Linked DNA regions of Astyanax mexicanus. The protein of the gene in region 1 interacts with the protein of each later gene in a pairwise test. Links are inferred from orthologs where the notes say so. Each region holds a gene or a part of one and is shown in the gene's direction. Other genes may lie near its edges.

Region 1 (8,082 bases):
CTCTTTAGTGCATTATCCAGGTCTGTCTCACAGGCACAATGACCAAACTGGCTGTTGAATATATCAGAATACAGCATATTCAAAACATTCAGTCACCTAAATGATTCCTAGGTAAGTAAGTTAATGAGCTTCAGCAGACAAAATATACACCCTTCTGAGGTGAACAAGAGAAATGCTTTCATAACCTTTACCACAGAAAAGCTAATGACAAAATATCAGCCTAATCCTAGACTTAATTACACAAATGATCTCAACAAAAGGTTACATAGGCCTCACCAAGACTAATATCCACATAATAACAGCAAAACATATAAACTACAATCACAATATGAATAGTCCACTGACAAAACCACCAATTACGCTATTCTGAGTATGTTAGAAATAGGCCAGCTTGTAAAAGGACAAGGATGGTGATGGTAAAGGGCTGTTCATGTATCTAAGATGTAATTGTGTACCTTTAAATCTGAATTACACATTTACATTTCTTACAGATCTCTTCCACGGTTTTAATCATTTGATGTTACATACAAGCACCATTCCCCCTACACAGGTTCACAAAGTGACTGCAGACAGCTCCTCTTAGTGGATGAAAAGTTTACTGCAGGCATTGATTACTGTCACACACTTTAAATAATTCATAAATGGCAATTTTCATTACTGAATAAAAGTTCTCTTCTATGAGCATTTTTTAAACCTTTTTTTTTTTTAATAATTATGACTTGCATTTGGCATTCAATATATTTTTACATTCACATTTTTTCAAAAGTCTCAAAAATGTATGCTGACAATATATGCTAAATACGTAAATACAGGTGAGTTTTCACTTCAAAAATCTGCACTGACATTTTTCCAAACCATCAAAGTTCAGGCTTAGAAGTTGGAGCGTTTTATGATTTTGACCATCCAAGTACTGCCAAACACATTAAATAATGTAACGGTTCTGAGAGCATGCCAACAGCTTCAGCAGTTTTATTTCGAGAAGGTTTTATTTTCTCAGTAAGAGCAAGAACAAGTCCAAGTCCGTTATCAGGAAAGGCAAGGCCATTACTAGAACTAGTTGATTGTGGCGAATGTTAAGACCCCCCACAATATTTTCTTGTTTTATTCTTGATTAAACCAAGGCAAAATGAGGCAAATTCTTTACAGACACTACTCAAAATATTTAAAAATGCATCTTTTTCTATACTGAAGTCACTAAAGACTGAAGTGCAAGAGTTATTAGCAAAGGACTGTATCACAGACTAGCTATTTGAGTACTTATAGATCATGAAATAAATAAAAATAACATTAATAAATGATTACAGTTGTAATTAGAGAGTCAACCATATTTCATCTTATAACCTATGTCATCAACACATTATGTGTTGACTGTTGGCTGTTAAGGAGACATTGATCCCACTGGAGGACCACTGGAAACTCAGGTGCACTGCAGAAATTACTACTGTAGCCATATTTCTTTAAGTAAACTATAAATAAGATACTTATAATTAAAAGTAAAGTTTTTATTCCAGAGCAGTTCTCTGAATCTCATCTTGTACCTCTGTTTGAGGCTTTTCAGTTTTTTGCATTCCAACTTCTAACGTACTAACAACTTCTAACAGCTACACAACCTTTCTCTCAAAAAAGACTGGGCTACATTTAATAAAAGATATTGTGTTGTACAACAAATAGTCTAGAAAGGTCCCAGTCAAACAGCTATTGCCGACTCCTCCAGATACTGTACAGGATTTGACCAACTCTCTTGTCTTGCCTGTGTCTCACTGGTGGAACACTGGAGATACCCCTATAAAAAGAAAAAAAAATTATCATAGCACTGATGTTTCACTGTAATGACCTGCTAACAATAATCACCCCTTGAGAAGAGAAACTGAGGGGACCCAGAATATAAATGGTTGGTAAAAACATAAAAACACATTATAAAAAAAATAAATAAATAATAATAATAATAAAAAAAAAATACAACATGCTGTGTGAGTCACAGTCAGCTGTGTGTAGGTGAGAAGTGTTGCTAAAGTGAAATGTCACCATCACACTCTTTAGTGTTTGTCTTTTATCAGGCTGCCACGTCTACCCGTCATCTCCTCAGGCCACACTGGACTGTCATGACCCTGAGTCATCACAGAAACACGGCTGTATGTTTTGATATTTCACTTTTCCATGGTTTGTCTTCTGATCAGACTACACAAGTTAAAAAACAAGTTTGCTTTAAAAATGACTTACAGCTGCATGTTTCGCAAATATAAAGTTTACAGGTGTGTAATTCTGTTGTGTTAACTGAGCATGCTCAGGCATTATAGAGTCCATATACAGTACATCAACCTCCACAGAAAGAATCTTCATCTGCATCGTTTGCATTATCTACATCTAGTGTGAACAAAGACAACTATGAAAAACATGATTCTACAACTACATGACTGGAAGTAAAACATTTAGTATCTTTAGTTTTTAACAATGTAGCTGTCTGGTACTGAAACTTACCACTCTTGAACAGAAACTCTGCAGTGGATGGTGTGCATACCCCACGTCTAGTCCTATCACTGACCTCGATAGGGTCAACCGTTATACCCATATGTGGGGCCAACATGGAACCCATGGACCAAACTTTCTGTTTTCCTATTGGGTTACCCACACAGGCCCCATTTGGGCATGATATCTGAGCGGCTACCAGAAACAGAAAAGGAGAAAGTAGGTCTAAATTAATTGTATTTTACATCTGACAGACAGTGATACCAAGTTTAAATTTTTTAGATAGCGACATATTTACAAACATTACAAGTAAAAAACAGAAGCAAATGTGTATGTCTCAAATTAACTATTTCTGATGATGTGACATGATATGTTTGCACTTTTTACCACCACTTTACACCACCGGTTTAACAAAATATATATTAAGTTACTGCCTAAATAATTATTAAAAGAAACCACAGTTCCAACCCTGCAATGTGATTGGCTGCGAGGCGTTCTGTGAGTGCCATTATCAGCCGGTTGGTACAAGCCAAACAGCGCAGCTACAAACAGAGCAACAATGGAACTATTTTAACTTGCTTTTATAACCAAATAGATTGCATTTTCTTATCCTCTTTAACTACATTTTTTTTTAAATAAACAGCCATAAAAGAGCTGTGGTATAATCGCAATAATACACTCGAGGTTTGTGATATAGCGTGTAATATTGGCACTGCTTTAGGCATTAGGCCACAGGCCGCACTGCCTCTCGTGTATTATTGCTTAAATGACCACAAGTGTGTAAAATGGCTACCACAGTTCAATTTTACAGTACTGGTAAGAGCTGCTATGTGCCCCACCCCCTCCTACACAAACAAGTGCAAAATAAGCTCATGATGAATTTTACAATGCAAGCATAGTTGTTGATTAGCTAATGTATGTATTCACAATGTTTAATTGTGATGGTGAGTTAATATAAGCCATTAGCTAGTTAGTTAACCTGCAAAATCTGAAAATATAACACATGGGACATTCCAGGATTTCAGAGATGGTCACTTCTGAAAATTTGATCTTCAATTTGATCATTTTAGTCATATATTTATTAAACACAGGTAATAGACTATCAAAAAGTTTGATTTGTCAAGCTCAGGTATCAAAGCAGTTTTTTAAATTAAGTTGTGGTTTACCTCAGGAACAGATGCTAACTGTAAAATTTAGCTGTGTATACAAGATCAAGGACAAACATGGTTATATAATTATATAAAGAAAAAATTGACTATACTCATTATTAGTCTTACAACATGAGTAACAGGGTTGCGTTCACTGAGTGACACACACAACTTGGACATTTGGAAAATTGTTAGAGCACTTACTCTTGGTCTTGCCATGTGGGCAGAAAATGTCCTTGTGATGTAACTTCCTTTGTGGTAGTAGACAAATATTTTTAACTCTTTCTCTGCCAGGTAAAATTCCTTATGGTAACAGGGTTGCGCGCATGTTGTGGGACACATATCAACAAGAGGAAGTAATTTATTTAGAGCTTATTTTAATTGTTAAATTTGCCAAAGGAGTTGGTCACCCAATGTGTGGGACAAGAGAAAACAGCCATTTTTTGAGGTGGTCCAAACTCTTTTGAATAATATATAAGGAGCTTATTTTTCCACCATATTTTACAGTTTGTCTTATAACAAGTACATTTTTCACAAAAAATAGTCATTTAGATATTTTGGATATGTACATTTGAAATTTAAGTGGTCGGACAGGAAATGTACCAAAATCCTGGAATGTCCCACAAATTGGTCCTTTAATATCGACTCACACAGCAGTGGCTATATGTGAGAGCATAGACATTTATACATAAATATGTATAAATATGTAGAAATGTACAGTACAGGCCAAAAGTTGGGACACACCTTTTTTTTTCAATGCGTTTTCTTTATTTTCATGACTGTTTACATTGAAGATTCTCACTGAAGGAATCAAAACTATGAATGAACACGTGGAGTTTTATGTACTTAACAAAAAATGGTAAAATAACATATATATATATATATATATTCTAGTTTCCTTAAAATAGCCACCCTTTGCTCTGATTACTGCTTTGCACACTCTTGGCATTCTCTCAATGAGCTTCAAGAGGTAGTCACCTGAAATGGTTTTCCAACAGTCTTTAAGGAGTTCCCAGAGGTGTTTAGCACTTGTTGCCCCTTTGTCTTCACACTGCGGTCCAGCTCACCCCAAACCATCTGGACTGGGTTCAGGTCCGGTGACTGTGGATTCCAGCTCATTTTCTGTTAAGTACATAAAACTCTACACGTGTTTATCATAGTTTTGATGCCTTCAGTGAGAATCTACAGTGTAAATAGTCATGAAAAAATAAAGAAATCGCTTTGAGTGAGAAGGTGTGTCCAAACTTTTGCCCTGTACTGTATATATGTAAATATATGTAAATGTATATGATGTAAATGTATATAATGTCTATGTGAGTGTTATTAGTGGCTCCGGGCCGGTAGGCCGCGCTGCAGTCAGAGAGCCGGGGAGCGGAGTCAGAGCTCCAGCTGAAGGAGCTCCGCAGCGGAAACAGGGCTGTTGTTGTGATGGTGGAGCAGGTTGGGCTGTGGCCGTGAAATAGACAGTAATGTTAGCGCTGTTTTTATAGGTTAATGTGGACGGGGTTTGTTGTGTGAAGGATAAACCGCTGTTGTTCGCTGTGCTGGAGGCTGTGCGGCCCTGTATTGAGGTGAGGTCTTATTATTATTAGCGGGTAAACACGGCCTGTCCGGGGGAAGTCCTGCAGCTCAGTGTTAGCTGGGTTAGCTTCATTTAAACAAACAGAGTCAACAACTCAGGGTCATTCGGACAGTCAGGAAATCGTGTGGCGTTAAGAAATGACTTTAAACTGGGCAGTGCAGACAGAGAATTTGTACATCTTGTTAGCTCTCAAGATGTCAGATAGTTAACTCAGCTATCTGTTAGCATTGTAGCTAATCTAGTTTAGCTAGCTAAGGTAGCTACGCTAGGTTGGCTGGCTGGCTATCAGTCTAATGTGACACATGTCAAAACTAAGATATCCACCTGCCATCTCCACCACACATCCCTGTGTGCTGCCAAGCAGGGATCCACTTTTAAAGTATCTGTAGTTATCCGCTATTCAGTAGGCTCTTGGTTTTCTGTTTTACAAAGAAAACATTAGTTATTCAAATGATTCATACAAACATAGAGGATTGGTGTTGTTAGGGTATTGGTTTATAATGTTACGGCTGACCAGTGCATTTAATGTTAAAGTGTGCTTTCTGTTTACAAATGAACAAATGAAAAAATAAACTGAATGTGTCTAAAAACTAAATATCTTAATGATGAATCGTGCATATATTTAAAGAATATTGAGATTTTTTCCTATAATAATAGCACAAGGACAACAATAATAAGCATTATTATTATTTTTTAGATTTTTTTTTTATTATTTTAAAAGTTGCAATATGAATAATTATTTTAAACGTTTTAATAATAGACATTTTAAAAGTTACTGGTTCTGGCTTGTCACAATAATTGCAATATTGATTTATCGTATAATAAATTAACACAACCTCAATAATTTTTGATAATCGTGATATCGTCTATTGTGTTTTTTTGTATGTTTGTCCACACATATAACAGTGAATAGTATTTTAGCGAGTCATGCTTTAACAACTGTGACGCCATAACATACACACAGTGTGAACTAAAGTAGGTGAAGAAATAAGTATATCATTCCCAGACTAATTAAAATAAATTGTTTTTTTTTTTCCTTTAAAAAGTGTATAATTACTTTTTTATGCTATTCTGTTTTCATTATGTCAGTGGCATTTAATAGTCCTAAAATTACATAAATATCATATATCGCAATAATTTCTGGGACAATAAATCGTAAGGTAATTTCATGATTGTAATATAGACAATATATATGTCAATATATATATATATATATATATATATATATATATATATATATATATATATATATATATATATATATATATATACTTTTACTATATCACCCAGCTCTCACTGTGAAATTACATACACCAGGGGTGGTGGCTTTTTTTACTGTTCATATCAATATCAGAATTGTATGATATCGACCGAAATTAAAAAAATATATTGAAATATAGATTTGTCATATTTTCAAACATTAGTATAGCGTGTGTTTTCTGTGCAATACCACCTAAAAGAAGGTATTTTAACATTTTACAATAGAATCATGTAAAATTGGTGAACAGCTATTTAAATTTAAGAAGTGACACCAGAGTTTAGAGTCTTCGACATATAATAATCTTATAGTTTTGTTCGTCTACTTTAGGAAGTGCTTTAGAATCTCTTTTCTTCCAAACCAGCCTTATACTCATGCCTTTTTGAGTTTGTAATCAGAATGTACCTTTTCTAGGAGGCAAAATGACTGCCATAAAGCATGCTCTCCAGAGGGACATCTTTACTCCCAACGATGAGCGCCTGCTTAGCATCGTCAACGTCTGTAAGGCCGGGAAGAAGAAGAAGAATTGTTTCCTGTGTGCCACAGGTAAAGAATGATGCGTAGTGAGACACCAGTTTAAAACGCGTCTGATATTAGATTATTATGTAATGTTGTAGAATTCAGAGACTGCTAATATTTATTCATGGCAGTTTGTAACTGGGAATGTCACTGCAAATTTACTAATTTTTTCTGTTCCAGTGACAACGGAGCGCCCAGTGCAGGTCAGGGTGGTAAAAGTAAAGAAGTCAGACAAAGGAGACTTTTACAAGAGACAGATGGCCTGGGAGCTTCGTGACCTGGCTGAGGTTGATGCCAAAGATGCTAACAAGGTGAGATTTTATATTTAAAACAAGCTCACATTCTGTAATATTAACATAACACAAAATAGTATCACATAATAGTAATAATAAGAGGACGAATTGGATAAATAACATCTTAAATTAAGTAAAAAAAAAAAAATGATTGCATTTTCACATCGTCATAAAAATGATCTTGCCTGCAAGAATCGTGTTTTTAACATTGACATAATTTTTATATAAAAAAAATGTAATCTGGCTGTTGTTCTTTGTTGCATCCATTTGTATATACAATAAGAAATAAATAATTTGAGAATCATTCTTATTGTTTGGGTATTGACTAATCTGTTTTACTGTTGTTTCTTACTAGTATTCAAGTTTGTTAATAAAATTTGTATTGAAAATGCCAATTCAGACACGAAAGAACAAATAGTTTAATTTAAGATAGACTGTCTGTGATGGAACAACTACAAATGTGCAAGTGTGTTTCACGTGTTCGTTTTGATCCAAGGATTATTGAGAATTTCCACGTTGCACCCTCAGAAGATTCAGAGATTCTGTTTCCAGCCATTCTCTCTGTCTTATCGTCTACTTTGACTTCCTGCAGGAGAATCCAGAGTTTGACCTACACTTTGAGAAAGTGTATCGCTGGGTGGCCAGCAGCACAGCAGAGAAGAACTCCTTTATTTCCTGCATCTGGAAGCTGAATCAGCGCTACCTGAGAAAGAAAGTGGAGTTTGTAAATGTCAGCTCCCAGCTGCTGGAAGGTAGAACCTACTATTGTTTCTAATTGAGCGCTGAGGTTTAATGGTGGAGATGTGTTATAACTAG
Region 2 (7,543 bases), on another chromosome or scaffold:
AGAGCGCACAGAGAGCCGCTGCTCGCACGGCGTCCATGGCGATGTGGTGCCAGCGCTGCACCCCAGAGTTCTCCACGGTGACTCCAAAGCGCAAACGCACACACACTCACACACACAAACACAGGCACTATACACACACACTACACACACATACACGCATACGGGCCGCGTGCGAGAACTGCTGCGTATCAGCAGTACGGTGCGCTCGCGTTGCCTCTATAGGAGAGAGAGAATGATAGAGAGAGAAAGAGAGAGAGAGGGAGCAGGGGCACTGGGACACGCCCCCCTTCTGTGTTGTATAGGAAAGAGCTGCCTGGACTGGGACTGAGACGCAACACCACCCCCCACCCACCATCACCAACACCACCACCACCACACACCCAGACTACACAGATACGCACATCCCGGAGAACTCTGCTCTCTCTCTCTCTCTCTCTCTCTCTCTCTCTCTCTCTCATTTTCTCTCTCCACACTTGCGAATGCGTCCACTGGGAGAATCAGACACCCCGGACGTCCGGGCCGGTGAGGGAGGGGAGGCTGGAGCATGATTTTAGGCCAAGACTAAAGTGCTGACAGGGGTTAACAGTCACTCACTGATCTGCTGCACCGGCTGCAGCTCACACATCCTCACATCCTCACACACAGACCTGCACAACTGACTGTGCATAATGTCCATATGTCCAGTTTTACTGTGCATGTCTGAGTGGAGTCTGCTGCACTGTGGACTGAACTTTTAAAAAAAAGTTACAGAAAAAAATACAGTGAGCTTTTTACAGTTACACCTGTACAGACTTAAGTTACAGCGGGGGCATATCTATAGAATAAAATTAAAGGGTGTACTAAAAATATATATTTATATATTCATTCAATATGTCATGTTATTTAAAAAAGTTACAGTAAAAGTAAAAAGTTCCAACTTCAAACTATGCCACATACGTATCACAGTAATTTACGGCAAATCGGGTCGGATCACATAAAAAAAATAATAAATAGTAGATATAATAGCCTATATAAAATATCAGCTAAACAACAAGATGCCTAATAATATAAAAAGAAAGAGTAACAGAGTACCTGTTATTTATTGTACAGCAAAAGTTTCTGTGTGAATTTTTATATAAAAAGTTAGAAAACAGTTGGTATTCTTCTAGTATTTGAAATATGCTTAAGTCTAACTATTTGTTTTTTAAATAAATTAGGTCTATAAGAGACTGGGCGCGAGTGTGTATCGACCATACAAACCGGCAGACGATAACATTTATGAGTTACAAGATAATTATTTCCCAAGGTTTTTTTTTTTTTAAACCTTTTGTTGGCAGTGTTGGGCATCTATCTGCGCAAAGGCCTTAAAAGTGGATGAGCACTGTTCTGTTTTCTGTAATTTTGCTGCCCCCTATCGGATACACTTTGTTAACACGTCTTATGTTTCTTAAATAACGTATCTAGATTCTTTAAGTTCGTTAGGAAAATAACTTTACCAGGCTGTAATTTTGCCTTAACTTAAGGAAATATTTAGTAAAAGGCGTTTTCTCTGAATTGTATGTCTAACATGGAAAAGTAATAATTTATTTTAAATAGGCTGTGGAACTTTGGGACAATAATTTTTAAACCTGGAAATTAATAGGGTGTGTTGTTGATGCCTAGGGTCAACAATCTTAACAATTCTCTGAAAAAAAGAAATTGAAAGCTCTTTATACACTTAATGTCGCATAGAAGCAAAAAAGAACTCTGCACTGATCTGTAGATTATGTTTGGGGTCTTCTGTATTGAATGTGGATGTGATTTAACGCTTGTCAGTTAGAAGGGGCACTTTTAGACAAGACAGATGCTGACGGTTATGATGATTATCAGCCGCTGCGCTGTCAATTGTGAGTGGTAATACCTTCTATGACGTATTCCTGATACACAAGTATGGAGAAATCGAGGAATGTTAAATGCCCATACATTTTCAGAAATAGAATGTCCAATCCATCTGGCACCAACTATCAGTCTTTGTATGAACTTTGATAGTTAACTGATTGCTATTTATTTTTGTTAAATTAAATCTTAACTTGATTATGTTGTTCGATGAGAGAAAGAAAGCTTTAGCATTGCTTTCTGTACTCTCACTACACTACAATCTAAAAAAAATAAAGAATTACTTTTTTTCTTGATGTAAAGGCTTTTTTTTTTACAAAGTTAAAGGTTCTTTTCTACAATCATGGTTATTTTTGAAACCACAATTGTCTCTTCTTAAATTAATTCAAATGTATTTTTGTAGCACTTCAAATCAGCATTGCAAAAATATGGTAGCACCATTGAGAATTAGACCAAATATTAAATAAAGGTCATAGAACCCCTAGTTACAGATAGTGGCTTTAAGAGGATCCAAAGGGGGGAACAATTATTTTCTGGTCAGACTATTCATAAATTCTTGATAGAGTCAATATAGAAAAAGTCAATTTTCTATTTCAGATTTTGGTACACCCATGATATGGTGGACCAAGTAAAGTTAAATGCTTTCACAAATGTCCCATCCATTTGGCACACACTATCAGGCCTCACCTAAACTTTTACAATTACGTCAGCTTTTCATGAGGATCTGGCCAGTGTTCAACTTCACTCACAAGATAACTCCTAACAACCATTAAAAAGGAGTTTGTTGATGCAGGAACAGCATCTACTGCAATGGATTGGTGGCCTGTCCAGGGTGTATATTGCCCTCTGCCCAGTGCCGGCTGGGATAGGCTCCAGGCATGCAATCTTTTTTTTTTTTTTTTACACAAGAACAGCACCCAATAGGGAGCTTTTTTGTAACCATGGGGCACCAAGCAGCATTATCTCTTTTGCCCTCTCATTGTGTCTGCCAGTGTACCCAAGGCCTTAATATTTTCAAAACTAAACAAAACAAAACTAAGAAGAATTAACAAATTAAATGTAATTTAAATAAGGTTAACTAAGAAAATAAGAAACAAAATCAGTCGCACATAGACCGAGACACAGCATTTTAGTAACACATAGGCCTATGCACCAAACACTGAGACAGAGGGGCTCAAATACACAAGGAGGGTGAGGAACATCTGGGATTGGTAAACGAGTGGGCGGGATTACAAACAAGACATAAGGTGACAACACTGATAGATAGAAAGTAGCTAGGCAGAGACAGGACAATAACAAAACAAGGCCATGTCCTTAAAAAAGCACATGGCTGGCAATACAAGACAGGAAAAGAGAGGACTGGAGCACATAGAACCAAAAAAGAAAAAAAAACACAATACACAGGTTAAGGTATGACAAATATTAAGTAACATTTCCACCTGGTCTTCCAACACTTAAATGCCTCAATGCCACCTACAGCATGTACTGTAATTAGAGGGTATTTTTAAAGAGTACCCTCTTACTCCTCTCGCTTGAAATCCAACTGGCAAAATGTGTTGATTTAACACTGGCAAATTGACTGTGTAGTTTGCTACTAGGCTCCGAGGTACCTCAAAGCATGCCTGAATTGACTAAATAGCGTCAAAAGGGAGTCTGCACACTTATGGGTGTGTGGCGTACACGTGCAAGAACAGAACCCATCATTTGGCTGGCAGAAGATTGTCACGTGTATATCCGTCTATTCATCTTTCAGGAGTCTGTTCATTTTCACTTCATTTTTGGAATTTACCACCAGATGGCGTTGTCTCCTTTTTTTTTTTTACTGGAGAAACAGTCTCTCAGTTCGCAACGTAGGTTCGTATTTTATAGTCTTATCAAATGATTTTAGATTACAGCTTGCTACAGTTTGTCAGCATACAATAGTCAATGCTACTTGTTGGTGATGATTGCTGTCGTGATGATAGGACGTCTTGTTTGGGTGAATAATAATAAACAAAAAAATCATAAACAAAGACAAAAGAAACAAAACAACAGCTTAGCAATTGTTGTCTACAGTTTCAGAATAAACGGTGCAAAATTAGGATAATGGGGTGTTACCATTGTTGCCCCTGAGATGGCGGCAAACCACCCCAGTCTTTTTTTAGATAAGGGGAATATTTATACTAATATTAATTTCCTTTCCTGCAGTTGTTTTTCTCCACGCTTTAAGGGACAAGGTTGGACCTGATGGATCATGGTGTAGCTTTTTGAGGGTGCATTTGCACAGTGTGTATTTGTGTGGTGAACAAGGACGTATAGTCTATTTTTTCTCACATCCATAAAACTATAAGCACTATTTAAATCTGAGCCATATACAGTAATTAGCTACTTACTGTATAGAACTTCAGCACCATGGAGAGCTGAGACACAGCCAAGCTTTTGAGCTAAGCTGCTCCATCTTTAGCACCAAGCCTCTGAACCTGAGCCTGCTGCTCCTGCTGATGCTGCTGGTACAGTAAGAGTTAAGCCTTGTTGTGTTACATAACACACTTGGCACCTCAGTCATATTCAGCCCTGAAGCAGCGCAGCTCCCAGAGAAAGTGCGATCTCCTGGTCTGACCAACCAGAGCAGGAGAGATCATCTCGTAGACCATCTCATATGTAAGAGGGGCAGGACGATACATAATCCATCAAACAACAAAGCTGGAGATTGACTGAGGGAATCAGACTGAGGGAAGCTGCGCATCTTCACCACACCGACCCATCCTCATCCTACAACTACAGCTCAGGCAAGTGCTTTTCCTTACTGCGTCATAACATTTACTGCTGTTTGGACACTTGTCATGGTGTGTATGGGATGTCTGAGCATTTTTGTATTGAAACTTAAAAGCTTTAGAACTCTGAGATTGAGGAAATAACAGAAAGCGATGTTACAGAAGAGTATGACGCATGAAAGAAAAATAAGACAGAATAATCATGCTTATCCGACATCGTCATTTGCGCAATTCCGAAATTCCGAAATGTTCATGGTTACGATCATGGGTATGATTTGAGCTGGTAAAAACACAGTATTAGGTGGGGCAGGTTGCCACGCAGTTACCACAGCTTCAGCACCAGGGGTCCTGGACAGCACTCGAAGTGTACACAGTGTTCCAGACCACGTGAGACCAAGACACGTTGGTTGTTTATCACAGATGGTAGACAGATACCATTGTTGTATTATAAGCTGATGCGCTGGAATGGTGTCAGTTAGTTCTGCAAGTGTCAACAATAGAAGACAACATAAAAAAATAAAATAATAATAGTAATAATAATGATAATAATAATACGGGTGCACGTTTTTTGACTATTGGGATGTGACGATCCTCCTGTTGTTTAATCTGAACAAAGAAGATTAAGACAAACAAAGTTGCACCTGTCAAAATAAATGGCTGTATCAACAAATAACCATATTTTGCTCGTTCATGATTCATTAGCAGAGCTAGAAAATGTTTAATAAAACAAACAAAAATAAATTCAGTATATACTAAAGAAATATGAACAGATTTCTACTTAAAAGAGTACAAAGTTTGTCGCTGGGGCTGTACCCTAATATAGAGGTACAAAAGAGTATCTTGCAGTGAAAATCATTTTTTGCACCAATGTTTTTTGCACCAGTAAAGATTATAAAAATAAACTGAATATGTGTCAAGAACGCGATGTTCCAAAACTGTCTGTCTTTTAAATGAAAATATATAATAAAAAAATGTACTGCTTATTAGTTCAGTGATGCAGAATATCGAATATACCTTTTGGCTACAACGGGGATGGGTTAAAATGTTGTTGAGTTTAATTTAAAGTGCATTACATAAGAAGACAATCATAAAATCATAGAATCATCAAAAGATCTGCAGTCTACTGTGATTATAAAAAATACAGAAGACTCTCAAGAACTCTCAAGCAATAAATATGAAATATAAATGAGAGTACATCATTATAGCATGACTAACATTCATTCGTCAGTTTGTCTGTGGTGCTCTGCCAAGTACTTAATCCAGAACACATGACCAAGTTCTAGACATGAGCCAAGAACTAGAAAAACTAGAACTGATGGATTGTTAATCATCTATAGACTGTTGACTGTTGCAGTTGGTGTTGAATAGTCGACATACATTGTTGCATCAATACTCAATAAAAGCAAAGAGGTGGCTTCAAGTGGTCCAGTGGTTCAGCGGGCTGAGCGCTGCCACTATGATTGGGAGATTGCCGGTCGGGAGATTGTTCGAATCCTGTTTATGTAGCTTGCTATTAGCTGCTGGAGCCCTGAGAGAGCACAATTGGCCTTACTCTTTCAGGGACGATAAAAGGCATTCTTTCCCCTCATCACTCCTATGGGTGATGTAGATCAGCACAGGGCATCTGTGAGCTGATATATCTGAACCGAGATGCTGCACTTTCCTCCGAGCGTGCTGAGATGCTACTCAGCAATGCTGCATCAGCAGCAGTTCGAAAAGAAGCGGTGGCTGACTTCAGATGTATCGGAGAAGGCATGCGTTAGTCTTCACTTTCCTGATGTTGGGGTCCTAATGAGTGGGTTGGGTTATTGGCTGTGTAAATTGGGGAGAAAATGGAAAAAAAACAAGCAAACAGATGACAAAACAGGATAGGTCCACTGTGGGTTGCGTAGTGTAGTGGATAACAACACTGTCTTCTTTATAATTAAGGTTTGATTTCCCATTCAGGAAAGTTCACACCACTTAACACCAATAAAAGTCATTGGGCAAGCCTCTGAATGCAACATTTGCCTACCTGCTCCAGATAGGAGGATCAGCCAAATGCTTAAATGTAAATGTAATGGGTTCTTGGTCGATGCAACAGGAGAGGGTTATTTGATTAAAATCCAAAAAGGTCTCACGCCAAGGTCCAGAACCTAATAATCTCTAACTTGCATCATGATTCTGTGCCATATGCTGAAGCATACTGAAGTAGTCTAATAGCTACATTAATGTTGTATGTAGCGAACAAATAAATGTCAAATGTTAATCCTCCTTTTTTTTTTACTAATGCAGACAAAGAAATGAAGAAAATGAAAGCTGAAACTGTAAAAAAACAAGTACTTTGGGAAAAAAAAGCACAGAAAATGATTGGTAAAACAAGCAAAAAAGGCATCAGTAGATAAAGAGTTAAAAGGATTGTTTATGTGTTTTGTTGTTCCCACTAGTAAGACTATAAAATGTGAAAAGCATAAGACAAATTCACCACTTCATTAAATTCAGAAATTAGCAAGTAAAACAATTTTTATCATCTGGATACTGTATGCAATGCATTCATGACTGTCTAAAAAACAAATGGGATGGGTAAAATGTTTCCATATCAGCATGATATTCTCTGTATCTTGCTATTCATCAGCTAATCTGCAAATTATGTAAAGTTGATTTGAAATTTAAAATGAATTATTAATAAATAAATGTGCTCTACTTGCTCAAGTGTGTTACATAAGAAGACATGAGTCATAGAAAATGTAACCTGTACTTGTTTAGTTCTGGTTATAGAATCAACTGTAGTTCACTGTGAAAAACTGTGAAAAACAGGCAATGAATATTAAATATCAACTATTAATGAGAGTACAGCACTCATTGCTCATTCCATTGTTTTGCACAATTAAATAAAACCTCAGAAAGAGCAAATAACATAAAATACATTGTGAGTAGAGAAACAAAAAACATAATAT
Region 3 (7,287 bases), on another chromosome or scaffold:
GGTACTGGTTTCCATGTGAACGAAAGTCTTTCCTGAGCTACAAAGCCAATGTTGGCCTGTAGAGCCAAATACTTTTCCCCTCGTGCTCAGCTCTGTCCTGCTGCCCAGCTAACCACACCTTCCAGACACACAATACACATGACTCACGTTCAGCCTGGACTCCACCTCTGCTCCCCACAGAACAGCCATCAGAACAGCCAGGGCTCCACGAAGGCCAACTCTGGTGGGTTGGTTGCTATACAAAGTTGTTGACTTCAAACATGTGCCATCACTTGAGGCTGATTCACAGAGTACAGCTAACAGCAGTGGAATCTCCTGAGCATGTGTGAATGCAGGAACAGTAGCAGAAAGGCAGAACATTTTCAACAGGATGCTTGGTTTAAAAAGTTATTATTAGAATACTGTTCCTTTTGGCCCCTATTAACACAGAAAAATGAGAAGTAGATGAGAAGTGAAATTAATAATATTAATTATTGAAAATGCAGAATGTGTTATCAGTCTCTTGGAAATAAAACAAATGTAAGAAGGTTGTTATGCCACTGAAGGGGGAGCTTATTTTAAGATAATCTCCCTATTCTAACTAAAAAAAAAACAACATAATTGGGAGTTCACCCCTGGAGACCCTATCTATATCTTCACTGTTGGACAAAATTTTGTATCACCAAAATGACAACGTTTGGTGGATGTTTAGTGGACATCGGCAAGATTCATATTATCTAAAAAAAAAAAAAAAGGTAAGTATAGACATGCAAGGATTCAGCCGAATGTAATTTACTAATTAAGCATGCCAGATAAACAGTACTGTACTATTTGATTATTGCTGGGTTGTACCTACAAATATTACAAATATTATAACCTTATTATTATATATCATAACCCAAAGTTAAAATGCTAGATTGAAACAGTACCTGTCTTACTATATGCTGACCCTCTAATCACCACCCTGTTATGCTAGAAAAAGTCCACAGCCACAAGTAAAATGGTGAAGTAAGAAAATAGCCACACTTCTTGTCCACTGTGTGGTAAACGAATGTCATGCAAACCTGACATGGCTTGTTTTTATTGCCATTACATTTCTGCTAAACATGCACTGTCATGGAAATGTTAACACATTACCAGCTGATCTACTTACATCAGAGTTCTTTTAAAACAACCACAAGGACCAGTCCAATGACATCAACTTCGGTTTACCAGAGACCTGTAAACAAGATTTCAACAAACAGAAATCAACATTTCTGTGTTTGTTGTATGTCCATATATACAATATACAGTATATCTATTGTATATAAAATGCAAGTATGAATACATATATATAAAATATTAATTATGTTGCTGCTGAATGTGGGTACATGTTGATCACTTATTGTCTATTATGAATACAAATATATGCTTTAAAAGGGGAGTTGCAACTTTTATTATTATTATAATTATTAATATTATTATTATTAAGCTCATTGGTGTGCAGAAAACACATAGGTCTACAGTATGATACACTTTCTCTTCAGAACAACTGCAATCTCCCTAAAACTCTTTTCACCACATCAAAGGCATGTCGATACAGAAGACACACCCAGCCTCTATTGTGTAAGAAACATTATAGTTGACACTTTATCTAGGCTATTGTGTAGATATGTACACCTGCCCTGTGTTATTGTTGTCATCAAAGAGCAATTCTCTTGTCCTGAATGTCTAGGCATTAAAGCTCCATTCACAACCAGGTGGAAGGGATTATCAATTAATTAACATTATTTTCTGATTAATGGAAACTGCTTCCTGGTCTAAATATTTTCCAAGCAATGTGATTTTGTGAATTTGATTTGGCAGATTCCTGCACTGATTATTACTTAACTGATCATTTTAAATTAGTAATAAAATGATCTCAGGTGCAATAATAGGCAAACAATAAACACTAAAACACACACATACATTTGTGCTGTTCATGTCTTTTAATAAGGACATTAATTTAATGTCCACAGACTAGAAAAAGGAAGCCCACCTCTGTGTTAATGCTTTTAAGGATAGCTAATTTGCCAAAGTGTTTTAAATAAAAGTGTGGGTTATACAAGTGTTTTGTTTATTTAATAAAGAAAAACAAAGCTTTGATACTGAAAAATATGTTCTTCTCAAAAAAGGTGAACAATGCCTAGATGCAAACAACTTTCTATACATGATGAAGCTGGTGTACCCGCTCAATGTTGTGCAAAACTAATCAACATCTGATTGATGCTAAATATTATCTTTAGATTAATTAAGTCATCAAGCTGAAGAGTTCACTTACTTTTTCTAGCCTGCACTGACAATGTTTACTTAATGTGCTTAATTAAATACATGAACAGTACAACTGTGGGTTGTGATAAACAGTCTATAATGAGGACCTAGTCACACCACATTATATAGTAATCATCACTGGAAAAACCCAGTGAGCCAAAATCCAAACTCCACCTATCTTTTTTGCAACTGGAACTTCTCCCCACCAAGCAGGGATGATTATGCTGTTTTATGAGAAAGCAGCTTGTGGCTCTAATTCTAGCTTTGGGTGAAACCATAAGCAATACAGAACTCCAAGCAGTAAACATTTTGAACACCAGCCGGGACATGCTGACTTTTTGATCTCCACAACATTCTGTGGATGAAGGCAAAAGCAGAAGGAGCAGCACTATAATAATTAAATAACTGTATCTTCTGATTAAATAGGTAACGCACGTAAGGCAAGCATTTGGTCTTGTAAAAGAAAGAGTGGTACAGTAAAAAGGAGGGCGTACTCTCTCTTTCTGTAGCTACATGAAATTTATGACTTACTTTTAACCACCATTTTCTTGCCCATTTCCTGTGGGCATGATATACAATTGTTATAAAAACCTGTGCTAACTCACTGGGGCCAAATAGATCAGCTCAGAGTGTAATTGATCCAGTGACAATTAAGTATTTTTTCAGTGTGTAAAGGGAATCCAGTCCAGCCAGATATTCTTTCTAACTTACTTCTTGTTAGTAGGTCTTACCTGCACACTGACCGTCCTCCTCTTGCTGACATGCCTAATTTTCCTTATAACAATTATATGTAAAACTCACCATTATCACCACTCATTACTGTAAAAAAATATAATCTAATACAGACTGTATTATCATCTATATGTCCTAAACATAGACTGTATATAGCTGGACAGAGCATCGTCTCGCAAAACTGAAGCCACCACAGGTCGGGCGCCCCCTGCTGTTCGGTTTCAGAAAGCAGTGTAACCCCACCCATCCCCATAGGTTTCAATGGCAAAATAGACAACTTTCAATCACACATTTTTCTAATATACTGTAATTCTACCTCCATTAATTAAATGCAACAGCTAGTGTAACCTCTGCTTATATTGTCAATTTTTTATATCCCCAAAGAATTCGTTTTTAAAACGTTATTCAGCTCTGTTCAAAAAAGGTGTGGTTATTGTAAAAGGGCTGGTTATGGGTGGGACCAGTAATAGATCGTCAGCTCCGCTCTGCAGTCTGTGACCGCGAGGCAGCCCTCAGGGGCGGGGTTATTCAAATTAGTAGGCTGTCTCTCCACAGTCTTTCTCCTTCCTCTGGTCTCTACTGTGCAGACTGGGGTGTCAGGATCGCCAACATGGTGGAAGATTTTTTCTTCATTTTCATTGAGTGAATGGGAACGGAGACACAGCGTCCATCTTTTTTACTGGTCTCTGGTCCTAAATTATATCAAATCAATCTTACCAAAAAAGTACCTTATATCTCCAACTTTTTCCCTTACATTTTTTCCCTTTACTTTTAAACTAAAAGCTGCTTGAAACACAATGAATTCTGTTCAACTATCTACCCACAGTGTAAAAAATGTGACTGTTTAAACCATTACTTTCGTATAAATACTGCAATTATCTGTTTCACCAAATAACGTTATGTGAATTTCAAAGCAGCTAAAATACAAAGGCAATTTAGGGGAGTTCAAATATTTAACATTATAGGCAAATAGAAGGTTAACGGCTTAAAGAGGACGAAGACGATTTTCCAGAATGATGTGAGATTGATGTGAACAGAAATGAGTCCAAGAGGCACATGGAATGTATGTGACTGTATGGAAAGATGTGGGTCTCACCTCTCTCAGATTTAGTTACTTCACCTTTAAAAGAAATTAAAGAAAGATGTCAAGGAGAAAGCATGGAAACTGTAGTTGTACTGTAACACTGTAGGCAATAAGAATATATAAATGGTTTTTTTTTCTCACTTTTTCTGCATACTTATTTCTTTACTATTTATAAATAAACCTTTCTAGTTCCTTTTTACTATAGTTATACGACTAGTTATATTCTCATATTAAATGCGTTTCACAATTAACTATATATTAAAGACAGGAGATCTTTATATAAACGTGCTATTTTGATAAATGCAAGTTTTTAGCTTTGGAAATATACTACATTTCCCATGAAACCCTTGTGTTACCCGGAAGTGACGATTCATTTGGAGGCAGCAGGCGGTAGTATGAATGTAAACTGCTGTTTTTCAGCTGAGAGTTTCAGAGCTACCGTTCGTTATATAGCCAAATAATCATGCTGTTTAATTGCAGATCTTGCATATTTAACAAGATAGATCGACTGTGCTGAGTTTCCTTAATGCTTGCTCTGTCTTAAAGCGCAGCTTTAGTTAAGCTAAGCTTGTTTACTAGCTTCAGCTGTAAAAGTTTCCCTGCTACTTTGAATTGGCTGCGGACAGACAGACAGACAGCTATGGATAAAACACCGGTGAGACTCTCATCAGAGCATCAGGAGTCTGTTCCAAGTGGATCCAGTGTAAACAAGGTAGTTATCAGTTTAACTATATATATATAACGTTACATACACACATACATTTGTTTCATGACTGTGCTTCAATATAGGTTTGTGACTTACTGTACAGTTAGGAGTACATATAAAACATTAAGTCTTTGATTAGGTCTAATAAATATTAGATATTCAAACGACATTTACTGATATATCATGTGTAAATAGTTAGCTAGCTAATTTACAGACCCTTACTGGGCTTTAAAGGTTTGTTGGAGGTTTAAAAGTTTTCTTTAGTTTAGGTGACATAAATTAACTACAAACTAAAGACAAATCAAGAACATAAATGGAAATTGGATTGCTGGGTTGAAAAATGTATGGTTTACGTTTATTCTCACAGGCTGCAATCTGAAGCTGTAGCTGTATTGTCCCTATATTGTCAAAACAATTCACTGCTATAACGTAATTATATAATTATATAACGTAATAATATAATTCTAGGGCTAGGTTACCTAAGGTCACCACTGATTTCTAGAATCGACTGATTTCTGATTTACAAGGCCCCCCATTTTAGAGTTAGTGCTGAAGATAAAACTAGCTCCTTTAAAATTTATTTTTGCTGATATAGGTCTGTTCCAACAATCATAACAATTTAAATGCTTTAATAAAATGTTTAATGTTACATAGAGCTAGTTCTGACAATTTATAGAACAGAATGTTTAAATACAAATTCTGACATTTTTGTGTAATTTGTTACATCAGAATTTTAACCTTCGCACACATGTGCCCACAATAATAAAAAAAATGTGTGGTTTAAGGTGCAGTGTTTGAATGCCTCTCTATTTATTCCTAGCCCATGAGTGCTGCCCTGAAAGCCAGGTTAAAAAGATCACGGCCTTCCTTTACATCCCCTTTGAGTGTGGTCAAACGGCTTAAAGTGGATGAAGATGACTTACCACACAGTTTAAACGGAGAGGCAGATCAGACTGGACCAACAGAGGATGAGGCTGAGATTGATGTGAACAGAAATGAGACCAAGAAAGACTTTAAAGACTGTGTGGAGAGATGTGGGTCTGACCTTTCTCAGGCCTCTCAAAGTGAGTTACTTTACCTCCAAGAGAAATTAAAGAAAGATGTCAAGGAGAAAGCTGAGACTCTGCGAAGGCTGAATATGGTCAGAATGTACAGAAAGAAGGTAAATATCATAATGAATATATCTGTGTTTGTGTTAAAACATGATAATAAAAAAAATGTGTCCGTAGTGAATGATATATTTTTTCTCTTATTAGAACGATCTGACCCAGCTGCAGAGTCTGATAGATAAATGGAGGCGGTGTGCTCAAGCAGTGCTGTATGAACTACAAACAGAATTACCTACAGATCGCCAGAAAGCCAGCCTCTCTCAGCTTATTGACCACTTTGGACTGGAGGACAGTATTCTGCACTTTGATAGGACAGCGGAGGACTTCACAGACAGCTAATATTCATTAAGGTCTTTTTTTGTTCTATGTTATTGTTGTTCTTGTCATCATAAATCTCTGTTTTCAATCCTTTACTGTTTAAATCTTCATTTAGGGGTTTGGGAACATTAAGTGGTAGAAGTATTATTTTAACATTGAAGAAAAGGATGATTCAATGTAACTGATTTTGAACTTAGTGCATGTAAAACTGTCACAGCATCCTGACTTTGATTGAAGTGTTTTTCAAGTTACTGTGAAACTTCATCGACAACAGAGTTTAACCTCTAAGTCATTGTACTTAGTTTTTTGCACTTTGCACTTTTTGTTCACCTGTTTAATACTATTGAAAATGCAATTATTTGTTAAAGCTGATGTCTTTGCTTAAAAAGGTGACTGTGAATAAACAACATTTTGTTTAAAATGAGTTCTATGTAGTTTGGAGTTGAAGTTGAATTTAAGTGCAGTCACTTTTGTGATGCTCCACACACTTTATTCATGGCCAGGAGTGGGTGTAAATTTTGTGTGTTCTTGCAAGGATTTTGAAATGACCGACACATTAAGTATTCATTTACGAACAAAGTGATTTGCAAATACTTTAACACAAATGTGTTCTGCCTGTTTTTATGAATATTGAATAATTTTAATGATTACAAAGTGCAGAGTGAAATATATTCTAAACCTGTACTGCATCTCAAAAGCTGTAGATTTTAAAGTCTGATAAATACTGCCTCATAGATGCTTCATTCTTTAACAGTCCTTTCCACGCTGGCCAGCTGCAGATCAAGAGCTATGTTCTCTTTCTTCAGTCCAGTTTGTCTTTCACCTGCTTTATCAGCTTTTTAATGTTCTCAGTTTTCTTCTGATGATAAGGTCATAAAAGGTCTGCAGCCCTGATTAGAGTAACATTATTTAGAGCATTTACTTTGGTTTCTGTGTTTATCTTTCTTTTTTACTGTTACTGTACTGCTCTTACATTCTATTTTCTTGGTATGTTTCACTCAGGCATTAAAGAAAGAAAAGGTACAGTCTCAACACTGCTGACATTACATTTTTTGTAATTTATTGCTCTT

The links.
Region 2: the proteins of exoc1 (region 1) and sybu interact in a two-hybrid assay, tested with the Homo sapiens proteins (2 studies listed by BioGRID and IntAct). The link is inferred for Astyanax mexicanus from reciprocal best matches to the Homo sapiens genes EXOC1 and SYBU.
Region 3: the proteins of exoc1 (region 1) and sfr1 interact in a two-hybrid assay, tested with the Homo sapiens proteins (2 studies listed by BioGRID and IntAct). The link is inferred for Astyanax mexicanus from reciprocal best matches to the Homo sapiens genes EXOC1 and SFR1.

The regions. Positions count from the first base shown.
Region 1 is NC_064408.1:63,951,326-63,959,407, reverse strand, and holds the start of exoc1 (exocyst complex component 1), read left to right. Parts: upstream 1-4,998; 5' UTR 4,999-5,185; intron 5,186-6,868; 5' UTR 6,869-6,876; coding exon 6,877-7,000; intron 7,001-7,153; coding exon 7,154-7,284; intron 7,285-7,858; coding exon 7,859-8,018; intron 8,019-8,082.
Region 2 is NC_064413.1:30,411,824-30,419,366, forward strand, and holds the start of sybu (syntabulin), read left to right. Parts: upstream 1-4,397; 5' UTR 4,398-4,622; intron 4,623-7,543. Other genes in the region: gdf6a (growth/differentiation factor 6-A), read right to left, coding at 1-37. UniProt on the Homo sapiens protein: Part of a kinesin motor-adapter complex that is critical for the anterograde axonal transport of active zone components and contributes to activity-dependent presynaptic assembly during neuronal development.
Region 3 is NC_064414.1:38,354,313-38,361,599, forward strand, and holds sfr1 (swi5-dependent recombination DNA repair protein 1 homolog), read left to right. Parts: upstream 1-4,458; 5' UTR 4,459-4,724; coding exon 4,725-4,796; intron 4,797-5,610; coding exon 5,611-5,952; intron 5,953-6,046; coding exon 6,047-6,238; 3' UTR 6,239-6,641; downstream 6,642-7,287. UniProt on the Homo sapiens protein: Component of the SWI5-SFR1 complex, a complex required for double-strand break repair via homologous recombination. Acts as a transcriptional modulator for ESR1.